Callithrix jacchus: one gene and its partner. The protein of the gene in region 2 interacts with the protein of the main gene of each other region in a pairwise test. Links are inferred from orthologs where the notes say so. Each region holds a gene or a part of one and is shown on either strand. Other genes may lie near its edges.

Region 1 (7,748 bases), on a different chromosome or scaffold from region 2:
GTCCTCTGGTTTTATAGTCAAGAAAAGATAATCAAGAAAGATTCATCTTTTAGCTGCCCTACCTGACACAGACTGGAGCTGACCTTCAATCTGGAAGCTTTGAATCTTTCATAGTTAATGGAAAATAATCAGCAAAGCCTCACACAGTGCCATTTTCTGCTTCCACCTGTTGGCTCTCCCCAGAATCTACCTCTTTAGATCTTTCAAATTGTTTGAAATATTTTGTCTGGAGTTTATATGAAGTCGTGACAGATGTTTGCCTTAGCCCTAGTGGGAGTTGAGGGCTCAGATGGCAGAGAAGAAGACAGGTGCTATGTAACTTGGATCCTGGAGTGCGTGGGCTTGGAATCCCATCTGTTACAGTGAGGGTAAGGAGGACTCTATGTCCCATAAGGATTGGGGGCATGAATCAAGCCCTGTGATTCAGCCAAGGACCTTTGGCAGCACATTGGGATGGACTCCCCAAGCTGCCTAGGATGGCAGAACAGTTTCTTTAGATGGGTGACTTTTGACCTTAGAAAGTTTGAGAATTACATGTAGAAGTAGTGAAGTCAATCAAATCAACGGACACAGAGCAGAATCTGATAGAGGAGAGAGAGAACAGACCATGAGGAGTAGTATCACAGAAGTCAAGGGAGAGACTATTGAAAAATTGAGAGGATGGATGCTATGAAAAAGCACAGTGGGAGAAGGATGAGAAGCAGTGATTGGGTCTGGAAAACAAGGTGATACTTGGAGTATCAAGGTTGAGGGGAATCAGATCTGATGGGTGAGACATGAGGAGAGGAAAGCAAGTCTGCCTGTAGACCACCCTTTCTGAAAGAGAGAAGGGAAAACTGGCGTGGAATGGAGCCCAGTGAGGACTGTCTTATTTTACTCTTTACCTTTGGAGATCGGAGCTAACACTCAGTGGAGAAAGGAGACAGTAGGGAGGAAGAGGGAAAATCACAGTCTAGGAGATGGTCTACAGATGAGGTTCCCAAGAAAGAGGGCAGGGATGAAAGAAGTTGGCTCAGGGCAAGAGGAGGAACCTCTTTTAAGTGGATTCCATCTTAATGTAATTGATCACTTGGACATACTAACAAATCTTGAAGTTTGCATAAATAAGCATTAAAAACAGGTTTTAAAAAAGTGTTGTGTGGCCCTTTTGTCCTGGTGAAAAAAATCTTCATTTCTCACCGCCAGGCTCAGGAACCTAGTTCGCTGTTCGTTATTTCCTCTTTCCTTTTGTCAGAGTCTTGTCAAACGCCTTTCTCCAGCTTTGCTAAATAATTTGAAGTCAAGTTGTTACGACTTTCCCAGCAGGACCACTCCAACCTTTTACTTAACTCTGAGTTTAACTCTTGGCCTTCCCTACTCTATAACTTTTACAGCTGCTTACCTAAAAGAAACTTATATCTGTGACCAGTTTCCTTTTCTTGGTTCATGTCACATGTGCACAGAGAAATGTACCACAGAAAGAGAGAAGAGATCCAGTGTTCTTAAAAAGAAAAGCTAGTTAATTTGAGCAATTTTGGGGAAGACTAAAATACAGTCTTTTCTTGTACATGAATTTAAAGGCTGTAAGATTATGTGTGATTGGGGACATGCAGTTCTGTTGTGGTTAATGACAGGTTTCAGTGAATGTTCTCAACATAAAAACATAATGAGGAAACACATAAATTCAGATTAAATTCACTCCTAAGCCACAGTAACTATGTTTGGGTAGGTTATAAAAGTCAAACTTAAAAATTTTTCTTGTCTTCAGAAGTAGATACCACCTCCCCCTACCGCCCATAATCATTTGCCGTAGTTATGACTGATCAATAAATTAAACCATAGAGGAACACTTACAAAGGAACTTAAATTTTGTACTGGAGAAGGTGACTGGCTTTTGTCTTCAGGAAACTAATTTCAGGATAGTCTGTGAACTGGTGAATTCGTTTTTGGGCATTTGTCTGCTCTTTTCCAGTAGAAGGTGTGGGAGATAAGCAGTAAGTGTACTTTAGTTATCAAGAGCCTGGCAGCCTTTGAACGGAGGATCTTGCGGCATCCCTGAGAGGAAGCTGGTCCTCTCGGTCAGAGTAACTACAGAAGAGGCTGCCATAGCCTCTGGGTATGGGATCCCCAAGAGTGGCAGGCTCACAACTGGAAATCATTCCTAGGTGCACTGAGGTTGGCTGGGCTCAGTGTGGCAGCTCAGGAACCCAGCTTCGTTCCTCATTGCTTGCCCTTAATACCTCTTAATACTCCTTGGAAATGAATAGGGTGCAGGATTAGGGAGCCATCACTGAACACACACCTTTATGAAGGTTTAGGAATGTATGGTCTCTGGTGGCCTTGAAATCTGGCCCACTCTTCTGGGAGTGAGGAGAGCTCAACTTCCTTGGGAGTACTCCCTTTAGAATGTATGCTTTCTGACCCAGAGACCCTTTCCACTCAGCTGGTTTTCAGATGAAGTTTTCTGGGCATTTTCATTTGTCTTTGCAGTCTAAGGCTTTACCCTCTTAGTTTCCTGCTGCAGCTGGTTTAGTGCTGAATAGACAGACACCAGGATGTAGTACTGGTTCACGGAGAAGAGTAGACGTGGGAGCTGACTCTTGGTTTCTTGTTCAGTCTGTTCCCTCCATAAGCCCCGATATACACCGTCAGCTTCCAGACACTTCAGGCTAACAGCAGGGCCTCTAGGAAGGCAGCCCAGGCTGAACGTCCTATAACCGCTGCTATGATATATTTTAAAATCTACCCAGAGGGTGTTAGGGGAGTTCAACTGAAGCATCTCCCATTTCCTCCTTAGAGCCCTAGAGAGACTAATTCTCCTGCTTCCTAACTTCCTCCTCCCATCCCACCAAGCATTTTCAGGACCTGGTTTGGGTTTACTGACAATCGTGTATAATTCACACAAGACAGGTTACAGTGGAGCGTGTTACCTTTGCTAGTCAAGCATGTCTCAGTAATGCTGCTCCAGATTGTGGCTGGGAAGTGGATTTTATTGGTGTTCGGGCTTAATGTTTTCCTGTCCGGAAACCTTCCCCTTCCCTTGACGGGGCTGTTCTGGCAAGCACCATCGGGGAAAACATCTACCTTCCCTTTGTCCAGTTGGATAAATGGCTTCCAGGCAAGAACAGTCTGTTGCATGAAGCAGACAGCCTTCAGAGGGAAGCGCTAGCATTGAGAGATGGGAAGCTGCAAGTGCCCTGGAGGGCAACGCAAGTCCAAGCTAAACCCTGGCTCCTTAAGGCGGTTCCTGGTGGGCGTTGCAGGGAGCATCTGGGCCTTTTTATCTGGGAAACTTTGGGGAGGGACTGCTTCCAGTTTAGTGAAGACCATTATACTTTTTCGATCCTATTGTTTTCATACTCTCTGAAATAATGGGGGCACTGACACCAGATAGCAGAGAAATGAAGGACTCAGGGTCTCCACTTATTTCACCATTTCCCTCTTCTGGGTTTTCTGTAGGCTAAGTAGAGGAAGGAGATAAATATTAGCAGCAGAAGCTTTGGGGAACATGGAGAAGGTGGCTGCATCACCTGAAAGGAAGTTAGCTCCACAATGAAGGGGTCGTGTGGAAGGAAGTTGGAAGGCGCAGGTGCAGAAGTGGTGGCATTGTGATTGTGGAGTGTAGGGTACTCAGGTGGGATGGGAACCTTGACAGATAAGGGTGAGTAAGGCAGGAGCCAGGTCCAGGAAAGCTTATAAATTATGCTAAAAAGTTGAATTTTACCTGGAAGATTTTTAAACCGGGGAGAGAGAGTGATCTGATTTCCACTTGGAGAGTTTATTCTGGCCACATTATGGGGATTGAATAGAAGTGAGAGAAATAAAGAAGGATGCTCAGGTGGCAGGCTGTCACCTGATCCAAGTGAGAAATGGTCAGGGTCTGGAGCAAGGGGTAAGAAAAACCCATGGGGTGGAGGGGCACTGGTGAATGCCAGACTCTGGGGCCGTGAAGGAAGGAGGTCAAGGGTGTGTACAGGTGTCTGACTTGGGTGAGAAGAAATTGATGGTACCTTTCTCAAAAGTGGGAAATAGTGGGAAATAGAGGAGGAAGAACAGTTTGGGGAGTGTGGGGGTGTGTAGAGTAGAACAAGATTTCTCAGCAAATGTTTGTAGAGTTGGGTTGAGAGGAAAACACAGCCTTATTGCAAGCCAAGCACTCCAACGGCATGCACTTGCTTCCTTACAGGAGAGATTTTGGGCCTCACAAAGTGTCACCAGTGAAGGTCCACCAATATGACCAGTTCGTCCCAAGTGAAGAGAATATGGATTTGCTCACGACGTATAAGAAAGATTACAATTCCTACCCTGTCTGTCAAGTGGACCCCATCAAACCTCGGGACAGTAAATATCCGTGTAGTGACAAGATGGAGTGTTTGCCTACTTATAAAGGTGGGAGAGCACAGAGGGGCAGATTGGGGAAAGACAGGCTGAGCCTGTGTGCGGGCCAGGAAATGTGTTTTATGTACATTCCCCTTTAGTGCAAGAGTTGGCAGACTACTTCCTGCAGGCCACATCTGGCCAGCAGCCTGTTTTTGTATGACTGGAGAGCTAAGAATGTTTAAATATTTTTTAATAATTGAAAAAAAAATCAAAAGGGTATTATTTGAAGACTGTGAAAATGATATAAATTCCAAGTTCAGTATTCCTGTTTTATTGGAACACAGCCATATTTACTCATTTACGCAGTATCTATGGCTGTTTTTTACACTCTAGTGGCAAAGTTGAATAGTTGCGACAGAGACACTATAGTCTGTGAGACACTTAATATCTGGTCCTTGAACAAAAAATCTGCCAACCCCTGCCTTAGCATGCAGTTTGAATCCTATATTGGGGGGAAACATTTCAAGTTCAAGCTAAGCTAAGTTAGTTTCTACCACTGATTGATTCATTCACCTGTTTAAAAAATAGATCAAAATGTAACATACATATAGAAAAGTATTTAAATCATAATTACACAGATCAATGAATTTTCACTGAACACATCCATATAAATAGCACCCAGATCAAGAAATATAACATTACTACTCCATTTCTGTCACCTTCCCCAACCAGAATGTAACCATTACATTAACTTTTATTTATTTATTTATTTATTTATTTATTTATTTATTTATGGTGAAAAGATATACATATATTTAGAATTAGCCGGCTGGACTGTTTAGATGATCCCAATTTTGTTTGCAACATCCAAAGCATCGTAATCAGGAGCCAGTCGAACATATGCCTTCTTCTCTCCATCAGGCCGAATCAGGGTGTTGACCTTGGCCACATCAATGTCATAGGGCTTCTTCACAGCCTGTTTGATCTGGTGCTTGTTGGCTTTAACATCCACAATGAACACAAGTGTGTTGTTGTCTTCTATCTTCTTCATGGCAGACTCAGTGGTCAGTGGAAACTTGATGATCGCATAGTGGTCAAGTTTGTTTCTCCTGGGGGCGCTCTTCCGAGGATATTTGGGCTGCCTCCGGAGTCGCGGGGTCTTGGGCCGCCGGAAGGTGGGTGACGTGCAGATCTTCTTTTTTTTGTGGCTGTGGACACCTTTCAACACTGCCTTCTTGGCCTTTAAAGCCTTCGCTTTGGCTTTGGCTTTAGGAGGGGCAGGAGCTTCCTTCTTCGCTTTCGGCGCCATCTTGTGAAAAGGGTCCTATATTAACTTTTAATACCTTAAATTAGTTTTGCCAGTTTTGAACTTTATGTAAACAGGATTGCTTCTTTCTTTATTGAGTATCTATTAATATTACCTATGAGGTGTGGCCCTAGAAACTGAAGGAAGCATAATGGCCTGCCCTTGACTTTCTAGCCTAGTGGAGACACAAGATGCGGTCATATGTGTTGTGCAAGCAGACAGCCACTCTGTGGAGCTCAGCTGCAAAGACTGAGACCATGAACCTGGAGACCAGGTTTGTAATCAATAACTCATGCTTGTGATACCCACCATTGCCCCAGGAGGATGTGCTAAACAGTTCATGGACCTCTAAATGGCTGTGAAGAGGGCCGCTTTTATTTAGTCAAGCCAAGCATTTAGTGTGAAGATGGCAGTGGAGGTAGGAAAGTTGGAGGGATATGAGCTCCTGGAAGGGCCTCTAATTCTGTCATCCTGGAGGACCCTGTGCATGGTTGAGTTTCTCTGATTCTTCTAGGCACTGAGGACTGGATTAGCATGGGCCTTTTCAGCAACCTGGGCTCTGCCCTTTTATATTCTTCAGCTTCCTTCTCTAACACTCCCGTATAGCTACCTATATAGAATGTCAAGCCACATTCTGAATGTTATCATACCCTGAAATGGTCCCACCTCTGAAGCCGTTGTGCACATCTTATCCTCAGACTTGTCCTCTGATCTCCTCCCTCCATGACAGTCCTTAGCCCTGCTGGCCCTCCAATCCATTGATGCCTCAGACCTCCCTCTTACCACCAGCCCCTCCTGCAAAAGTCCGTCCCCATGTGGTCTACTCTGTGGGCTATCTTTGGACCCCATTTCCTACTGATGGCCGAGACTCTCTCTCTCTCCTGCCCCTTTGCTATTGCCTCCTGGCAAAGCCCTAATCCTGTTTTCTCCATGTCTACACCTGGGTACACACCTGAGCATACCTCCCGTCTTGTCAACTCTTAGCCATTTGCCACAGAAAGGGAGCAAAGAGGTTTTCTAAACATGGCAGTCTGATCTGACCTCTCCTTTGCTTAAAACTCCTCAAAAAATCATTTGATAAAATCATTATTTTTTCAAATCATATGATCCTAGGGCGATAAAAACCCAAACCTTTACTGCCTCCTCTGATGCCTTGGGAGGCCCTGGTGTCTTCTTTCTGAGCACCTCTGCTCCAGCCTCAGGGCCTTCTTTCAGGTGCCTTCCTTTTTTCTCTTCCGCTTCAGGGCATTTGTTTAGCACACGTGATGCCTTCTATATAGAATCCTTCTGCTTCCTTGATCTAGCACTTATCCTTCAGCTAGCAGCTGAAAGATCACATTCCCAGCCCTTGCCCCATGTCAGATTGGATGCTGTATAGGTGCCTTGTTACTTCCCTGTCTTGTCATTCATTATGCACTTTTTAAAAAAATTTATTTGATATTTGATATTTTTAATTTTTTTAAGACGCAGTTTCACCATGTTGGTCAGACTGGTCTTGAACTCTCAACCTCAGGTGATCTGTCCGCCTTGGCCTCCAAAGTGCTTGGATTACAGGCGTGAGCCACCACGCCTGGCCCATTATGCACTTTTAATGCTTCTTTTAATGGCCAGGCTGTAAGCTCCAACAGGCAGGGATCTGTTGGTCTTTTTCGTTCCCAATTACCCTCTCACAGCAGGCACCATACAGGTGCTTTACAAAGGAGTCCCTACAACCAGGTGCATGATCATGGGCAGGGTGTTGGGGGGCACTCTTGCCTCTACTGAACACATTCTTCTCCCTTTTTATCCTGTGTTTACAAGGAGACCAGAAATAAGGCACCACAGACATTGAGCAGGTGGGATAGAGGAATGAAGCTGTAAAAAGCACTTTCTACCATTGGTGGAGGAAATGAAGGACTCTGATAGGGCAGACTCACCTCTCCTGTACACGGTCTTTACGGCCCCCGTAGGTTTATGAATCTTACCATAGGGAGAGGCTCTTCAGAGCAACTGCCTTTCAGTTTAGTTCCCTTTTTCCCACCTTGCCCTAGGTGCAGGGAGAGGTCTGGAAGTGGAAAATGCTCCTTGCTTGTCTTGGGGGTTGGCAAGGATAGAGGAGGTCTATTTGTAGTATTTAAAGAGAGGTTCTCCCTACTTCTCCCCA
Region 2 (7,986 bases):
ATCGAAGTCCTAGGGGTACCTGGGATAGGGAGGAAATGAGGACCAAATCCAAACACAAACTATTGAAGGATGAATCTTCAGTTTCTTTCAAGTAGAAGTTTAATCCAGTAGTTTATCTTTGAGAGTTAGACTGCTGCCCTGTTCTTCCTGCCGCCTCTACATTTACAAACTGGAAGCAAGGCTTGGCCCAGGCTCCTCTGCATTATGAGGGTTTGGGAGTGGGGCTGGGCTGGCCTAGAGTTCCTGGGCATGGAGCCACGTCATAAGCTTGGGGGATGGGAGGGAACACAGGCGATCTCCTAGAGTTGTTTGTGCTACTGCACCTCTGAGCAGCTTTGCATAGCTTCCTGTCTTGCTGCTTTGCTGGAGCTGGGGCTGTGCCATTAAAAGTCAGGTCATCTCCCCTCTGTTTGTGATTTATTTCTGGCCTCAGCCTCAGTGCTAACTGGTGGGAGACTCCTGCTAGGGCCCCCGGGAAAGCTTCAACTTTGCCAACAGGAGCCCCAGGCCCCATGCTGATGTCAGCCTGCAGGGTGGGCATGGTTGGAGGGAGGAGGCTTGGATCACAACCAAAGGAGATGCCAACCCTGCCCTTGCCTTTCCTCCCGCCTTTCCTCCCTGGTGATTCAGGGACAGTGCCCTTCCCTAGGGAACAGGTTTGACGTCCAGCTAAGACAGGGCCCCTGTTTACTCAGCAGAGTAGGCAAGAAGTGGCAGCTGGATACTGCCATACCACACTGCCCCATTAATCATTAACCATGTATGAGCTAGAACCATCAGGGAGACATGAGCCCAAACAGCTGCCACCTCCACTCCCCTTGCCCCTAGGCTGAGGATGGGAGATTGTAATGTAGCTGTCCCAAAGCTTCCTCAGGTGTCTCCACCCAGAGGCCCTTGCCTGGCAAACCGGCTGGGCTGCTTTGACAACTGCTCAACCCAGGAGTGAAGGAAGGAAAGAACTAGTTGGGTGCTTTTAGGGGGCCTTAGTCCCAGTTTTGACACAGGCAGACACCAGCTTAAGCCCAAGCAGCTTTAAGTTCTGATCTAAGACAAACTAGAACTGTCCACTGCTAACCAACCTCCTTCCATGGAATGAAGTCACACCACTGCTGACTCTGCACCAGTCCCTCTTCTTCCCAGGTTGTTCACCTGGAAATGGCAACCAGACTCTGGGTGCCCTGCACCTCTTCTCTCACTCCAGGAACACTGAGACTTAAGATCCACTCCAACCTGTTTCCTCTTTATTCTTTATACATTCTCCTGCTCCCAGATTTGGAGGCAGAACATGATATGAGCTCAGCAGTCCCACTCAGAGCCATGTTCCATATCCCAGCAGTTTCCCTTTTCCCAACCCCCACCCACCCTCACTCAGTAAGTCTCCTTGCCCAGGTTTTGCTCTTGGAGGTAAGAAAGCAGAAGAGCGGATGCAGGACTGAGATGACTGTCCTGACCCCGTGACCCCCAAGTGTAAGAGAACAGTATCCTGGATGGAATTAGGGGAGATTCCAATGAGGGATAGGAACCTCTTTCTAAGGCCTGAGGGACCACCTTCTCAACATGCCGCTGCTTTTTCAGATTTGGGTAGTGTGCTGGCCAGGAGCTGGGGGCTGTAGCACCTCCAGCTGACTGAGGAGTTGAGGAATGTGAGGACGCTGCTGTGGGTCCACGGTCATCATCGAGGCCAGGAGCTGCCGCAATGCTGAAGAATGCCTGTGGAGGGAGGAGCTCAGGGAGATTGGATGACACCTATCCGCCAACTCAGCTAATACCAGGGGGGAGTCTGAAACACCTCGTGCCACATTCATTGCTTGCTCACCTGGGGCTTTGTGGGATGCTGAGTTGGTTCTGCACAGCAAGGGCCACACTGTCACCCTTCTGGAACACCATGTCATAAGGGCCTTCCCCAAACATCATGGCATATAGCACGCAGCCTAGGGACTGAGTATAACTTGGTTAGTACCTAGAAGGGGACCAATGGAGGTGACATCTCTCTCCTTCTGTGGTAAAAGGACACTATATAAGCTAAAAATATGCTGACCTCAGCCACATGGTACCGCCAGGGCCCAGAGAAACTGCCAGTCAGCCAGAGGCCTCTGTAGCCGCTGCTTAGCCAGTGCCTTCAGTACTGACACTGAGCTGTATTCACCCTGTTCAGGGGCAGGGATTATACCACATCCGGTGCAATTGGGTACAGTATCAGTAACAGTTCCCAGGAAGGAAGTTGAAGTGGATGGGGACATATTGTGGCTCCTGGGGCCCCATGCAACAGAAACCAACAACCTACTCTACTCCACAGTGGGTACAGAGCCACAGCCCTCCCTACCCAGATGCCCTCCTACATGCTCCTCACCCAGACATCAGTCCGCTCATCGATGACACAGTGACTCTGCACAGAGAAGAGTTCTGGGGCTCGGTAGGAGATGGTGCACCGCTGGGCTGCCCAGTCCTGGAACAGTGGTCCCAGAGCTCAAAAGTGGAGCACAGGGCATGGTCATGTGACCAAACCGGGGCATGCACCAGAAGGGGCGGAATGGGGAACTGGTGAGAAAAGGAGCATGGAGACTCTTTTACCTGCAGGGTCAGGGCCTGGCGGGAGCCCTCCACGTGGATGCATGCTTGATTCATGGAACCCAAGTCCATTAAAACTGGCTGCCCTTCGTCTCCAAGCAATATATTGGTGGGCTTCAGGTCTCTGTAGGGAAGTAGAAATGACCTGGACATCTCTGGACAGGAAGCCTGGAATCCCGGTGAGCAAAAGAGTCATGCAGGCTGTTTCTTGAGAGAACAGAGACCTCCCATTTCTCTTAGTGAGGCTCTTCCTCTGGGCCCCAGCAAGCACACAGGGTCCTCCCACTGACCTGTGGGCATAACCCTTGGCATGAATGGCCTCAAGCCCTCTGCAGATCCCCAGCAGCAGCCGAAGGATTTGATCCTCGGTCAGGAAATTGCCTTTGTCCTTCAGCCTTTCTATCTCATTCCACAGCGTACCTCTCTGCAACACAAGTTTCCCTAAAGTTGGAGATGTTTTTGGAGCCTCTGCTCCCTAGGCCTGATCCCTTCCATGTGTCAAAGCCTATCAGGCCTTTCATGACACACACCTCAAACCCCAAATCCAAAGCGGCCACCCAGGACGTGGTCCCTGCTTCCTAACATCTGGACTGCTCACACAGCCCTTGGGTACGTGGCTCTGTTGCAACCCCCTCCATAACCAAGAGTCTTTCTGACCTTGAAGAATGGTAGCAGCAGCCAAGCCTCATGCTTAGCACCCCGCTCCCTCAGACAGTAAGCCACGAGGTGAAGGATGTTGGGGTGATTGAAGAGGTGATGCATGTCGGCCTCTCGCTGGGCCTCCTCCCGGTCCTGCTGCTCATGACACAGGATTCGCTTCAGGGCGTAGAAGTGTCCATCATGTAACCCTTCCACTAGGTCCACATAGCTGAACCCACTGTGGGCCAAAGGGGTCAATGAAGGGCCATGGTCATCTCCAACATGGCTTGGACCTAGAGAAATTTCCTGGTGGGGAGTGGGGTGTTCTTCCCATTTAGCAGAAACCCTCCCAAGATGTGGCTCTAAGTGAAATCTGAAGAATATTATACTGTGAGCTCCTCAGGAGCAGAGATATAGAAATCTTTGAGGTCCTATGGTCATAATAGAGATCTCTGCACCTGACAGAAGTAAATAATAGCCAACACTTATCAAGTACTTAGGAACCAAGCACTGGGTGAGACATTTTATAATATTATCTCATTTAATCCTCACAACTCCATCAGTGAGGCATGATAATCATCTCCATTAAGCAGATGGAAAAAAACATGGTTTATCAAAGTCACACAAAGTGGATTTAGCAGGCCTGGCTCCAGGATCCACCTTCTCGATACCGTGTAGCTAAGAGCTGTCAGGTGAGAGAGGACAGGGATAGGGATAAAACCCTTGTGCCCCAAACATGTGCAGACCGCTGTCCTTCAATGACCATAACCTTCAGGACTAGTTAATTGACTTCCAAACACTCACCCCTCCCCCAGTTTCTGGATGAAGAGGTAGCGCTTATTGTCAATGATGACAGTTCCCCGAGAGCAGACACACAGTGCGTGGCCCATAATGTCTCAGTCATCCTCTTCAAGGACGATCTGAGGCTACCGAAGAGCTCGTCCAAGATGAGTGGGCTCTTCCAGGAGATGCGCTGGGAGCCCAGCGGATCATGCTGGAAAGAAAACAACGGCAGGGTCGCAGGTCCGGCACAATCCAGAAGATTCCTGAAGTCCCAATGCGGAGAGCTCAGGCCCAGGTCTCTGGGACCTACACTACTCTACTGTCTAGGGAAAACAGGCCCTGCTCCGTCGCCAGCTCCAAGGGTGGGGTCAGGGGCCTTACGGCCTCAGGACAGACACACAGCGGCTACCCAGCCACTTCCTCCAACCCCAGCCCACCTTTGGGCAGCCCCACTCCCATGCCCGTCGCGCCGCAAAGGCAGAGCACAGGGTAGTTCAAAAGACGTGCGAGGCTCAAGCCCATTCCTGGCAGGGCCCACCCCTGGCTTCGGAGCCCAGAGCCCGGGGTGGGCCAGCCCGCACTCCCCGACTGACCTGGCTCGGCCAGAGCGCAGCGCCACGGACCGGAAGCAGCGCTGACATCATCAGTCCGCACCGGCGCAACGGCCGGCGATATCTTAGCAACCGCTAGGCAGTCGGAGGATGTGAGGGCGGCGAGCTGAGAGGCCCGGAGCGGGCTAGGCCTGGCGGGGGACGGGTCGCAGGACTCTTGTGAGGGTTCTCTACTTGGCCTTCAGTAGGGGTCAAGACGCAGACACCTGCGCCAAAGGGGAACAAAGCCGGGCTTGGCCCGAGGCCCCCAGGATCTCCATCTCCTAATGTTGGAGGTAGGAGGCTTCATACCTCCGGCACTCCGGGGCAGAACGCCGCCGACTACACTGCAGCCTGGAGGGGGATCCAGGGAGGGGCGGGTCTGGTGGTCTGGATTGCTGATCCCGTACAACTTCCGGGCTCTGGGCTGTATCGCACTACCCTTAGTCTCAGTGATTCAGAGCTCAGGCTTGTGAACCAGACTTTCAGTTTCTAAATTGAATGTTAATAGCATACTAGCTGTGTAAACTCGCGCAAGTTTCTTAACTTCTTGGATCATTAATTTTGGTACCTGAAAAAAGGTATTAGTACCTAAGGTTAAGTAGCTTAACCGTGAGGCGGGACTGACTAGTTGAAATGCCAGCTCTATTAACATAGTTGCCTGACCTTGGACAGGCTACTTAATGTTTCCGTCCTTTCCTCTCCTCCTCTGTGAAATGGAAATGATATTATCTACCTCGTGGACTTGTTTGAAGATTAGATGAGATATACAGTGTTTAATACAATATCTGACACATAGCCTTCAGTACGTGTCAACAGTAATTATTATTACCCTGATCTTCACATCCCATGCTTGAAACTGTAAAAGCAAAAGGAACGGAAATTCACAAATTTCCAAGCCTTGGCACAAAGCAATTGTCCTTGACATCTGTTGCCGAGGCAGGCAGGGGTAAGCTGGAGAAGGGTGCACTTCCAATGAAGGTGGAATGGCCAGGAGGGAATGGCTGTTTTGCTGAAACAGGGGTCTCAGGAAAAAGGTCCTTCTATGACCTGGTTGCCCCCTTCCACACCCCGGATCACGCTGAAGATTTTCCAGTGGTTTCCCTTGGTTCTGAACATGTTTTAGCTCTTTGGTTCTGACATTCATTCATCTAGATTTAACCTGCTGTGTGCCGGGCCCTGTGCTAGAAGCTGAGGATTTGAGATAAAAAGGGCACTCCCTGTCCTCAGGGAGCCCAGTCAAGTCAAGCCATGCTTCTCAATTTTGAAGGTGCCTAAGATCACCTGGGAATCTTGTTAAAATACAAATTTGATTCTATAGGTCTGAGGTAGGATCTGAGATTTTGCATTTCTTTTTTCTTTTTTTTTTTTTTTTTTTTGAGACAGTGTCTCTTCTCTCTGTTGCCCAGGCTGGAGTGCAGTGGCAGGATAGCTCACTGCAGCCTCCGCCTTCCGGGTTCCAGCAGTTCTCCTGCCCAGCTACGCTAGTATCTGAGATTACAGGCTTACGCCACCAGTCCCGACTAATTTTTGTATTTTCAGTAGAGACAGGTTTCACCATATTGGCCAGACTGATCTCAAACTCTTGACTTCAGGTGATCCACCTGCCTCAGCCTCCCAAACTACTGGGATTACAGACGTGAGCCACCGCACTTGGCCAGATTCTGTATTTCTTCTTTTTTTTTTTTGGTTTTGTGTGTGTGTGTGTGTGTGTGTGTGTGTGTGTGTGGTTGTTTTTGAAACATTGTTTCACTCTTGTTGCCCAGACTGCAGTGCAATGGCCTGATCTAGGCTCACAGCAACCTTCACCTCCTGGGTTCAAACAATTCTCCTGCCTCAGCCTCCTGAACAGCTGGAATTACAGGTGCCCACCACCATGCCCAGCTAATTTTTGTATTTTTAGTAGAGACGGGGTTTCGCCATGTTGGCCAGGCTGGTTTCAAACTCCTGATCTCAGGTGATCCACGAGCTTTGGCCTTCCAAAGTGCCGGGATTACAGGTGTGAGCCACCATGCCCGGCCCAGATTCTGCATTTCTTTTTTTTCTTTTCTTTTTTTTTTTTTTTGAGACGGAGTTTCGTTCTTCTTACCCAGGCTGGAGTTCAATGGCGCGATCTCGGCTCACCGCAACCTCCGCCTCCTGGGTTCAGGCAATTCTTCTGCCTCAGCCTCCTAAGTAGCTGGGATTACAGGCACAGGCCATCATGCCCAGCTAATTGTTTTGTATTTTTAGTAGAGGCGGGGTTTCACCATGTTGACCAGGATGGTCTCGATCTCCTGACCTCGTGATCCACCCGTCTCGGGCTCCCAAAGTGCTGGGATTACAGGCATGAGCCACCGCGCCCGGCCCCAGATTCTGCATTTCTAACAATGCTCCCAGGTGACGCTGATGAAGCTGATTGGTTAACTGTACTTTAGCATGATAAAGAGGATTTTACAAACTAGTAGAGTAGGGGGTGGCTGCAGGCTGGAGAGGAGGAAGTCCAGGCTAACTGCCTGGCAACTTGAGGTGGTCTCCGCCCCCTTGCTTGCTGAGGTTCCCTCCCAGGAATCTGACACGTGACAGTCTGTCTGCAGTCTCCGACTAGAGGAGCCTTGTAAGCGCCATGGCTCCCAAGAAGCCATCCTGCCTTCACTCCCTGTTGCTGCCGCTTCTGACGCTACTGCTGCCTCAGGTAAGAAGATGAGGCAGTTGAACCAGTTGACGGGGTGGAGGGCGGGGGGTGCGGTGACGCAGGACCAGATCCAGCGGATAAGAGAAAGTCAAAAGTAACAACGAAGCCACCCTCGGGGCTACTTCCATCTCCTCCGCTTTGGGCAGGCGCTGACCCTCGACCCTCCCTCCAGGCATCTGCTGAGCAGTATCTCTTTCTCTTTGTAGGCAGACACTCGGTCGTTCGTAGTGGATCGGGATCATGACAGGTTTCTCCTAGACGGGGCCCCGTTCCGCTATGTATCTGGCAGCCTGCATTATTTTCGGGTACCGCGAGTGCTTTGGGCCGACCGGCTTTTAAAGATGCGATGGAGCGGCCTCAACGCCATACAGTTGTAAGAAGTGTTGGCAAGAGCCGCGAAGGGGTGGGGTCTACCACCCACTAAGAAAGGAGGTCGGGACGGGAAGACTGGCATGTTTGAACAGGGCTTAGCACTCCAGGACTCCTAGGCCAAGGGTGGGAAAGGACAGGGCAGGACCTCCTTCCAGCCGCTTCCTGGAGATGCCCTGCAAGGCCTGAGCCCGTAGGCCTCCTGGTGTCTCTCCACCTTGGGCTCTGTTAACCTCTTCCTTTCTCAGTTATGTGCCCTGGAACTACCATGAGCCACAGCCTGGGGTCTATAACTTTAATGGCAGCCGGGACCTCATTGCCTTTCTGAATGAGGCAGCTCTAGCGAACCTGTTGGTCATACTG

The links.
Region 1: the proteins of STK16 (region 2) and SAXO1 interact in binary tests that used the Homo sapiens proteins (3 or more experiments, as listed by UniProt). The two-hybrid records come from large-scale screens. The link is inferred for Callithrix jacchus from reciprocal best matches to the Homo sapiens genes STK16 and SAXO1.

What each region holds. Positions count from the first base shown.
Region 1 is NC_133502.1:125,541,976-125,549,723, reverse strand, and holds part of SAXO1 (stabilizer of axonemal microtubules 1), read left to right. Parts: intron 1-4,165; coding exon 4,166-4,368; intron 4,369-5,051; exon of another isoform or gene 5,052-5,624; intron 5,625-7,748. UniProt on the Homo sapiens protein: May play a role in the regulation of cilium length. Stabilizes microtubules at low temperature.
Region 2 is NC_133507.1:140,985,921-140,993,906, reverse strand, and holds STK16 (serine/threonine-protein kinase 16), read right to left. Parts: upstream 4,610-7,986; 5' UTR 4,428-4,609; exon of another isoform or gene 4,202-4,427; 5' UTR 4,098-4,201; coding exon 4,012-4,097; intron 3,446-4,011; coding exon 3,226-3,445; intron 2,993-3,225; coding exon 2,859-2,992; intron 2,737-2,858; coding exon of another isoform or gene 2,693-2,736; coding exon 2,572-2,692; intron 2,467-2,571; coding exon of another isoform or gene 2,447-2,466; coding exon 2,351-2,446; intron 1,939-2,350; coding exon 1,817-1,938; intron 1,711-1,816; coding exon 1,572-1,710; 3' UTR 1,220-1,571; downstream 1-1,219. Other genes in the region: GLB1L (beta-galactosidase-1-like protein), read left to right, coding at 7,186-7,254, 7,461-7,627, 7,872-7,986. UniProt on the Homo sapiens protein: Membrane-associated protein kinase that phosphorylates on serine and threonine residues. In vitro substrates include DRG1, ENO1 and EIF4EBP1. Also autophosphorylates. May be involved in secretory vesicle trafficking or intracellular signaling.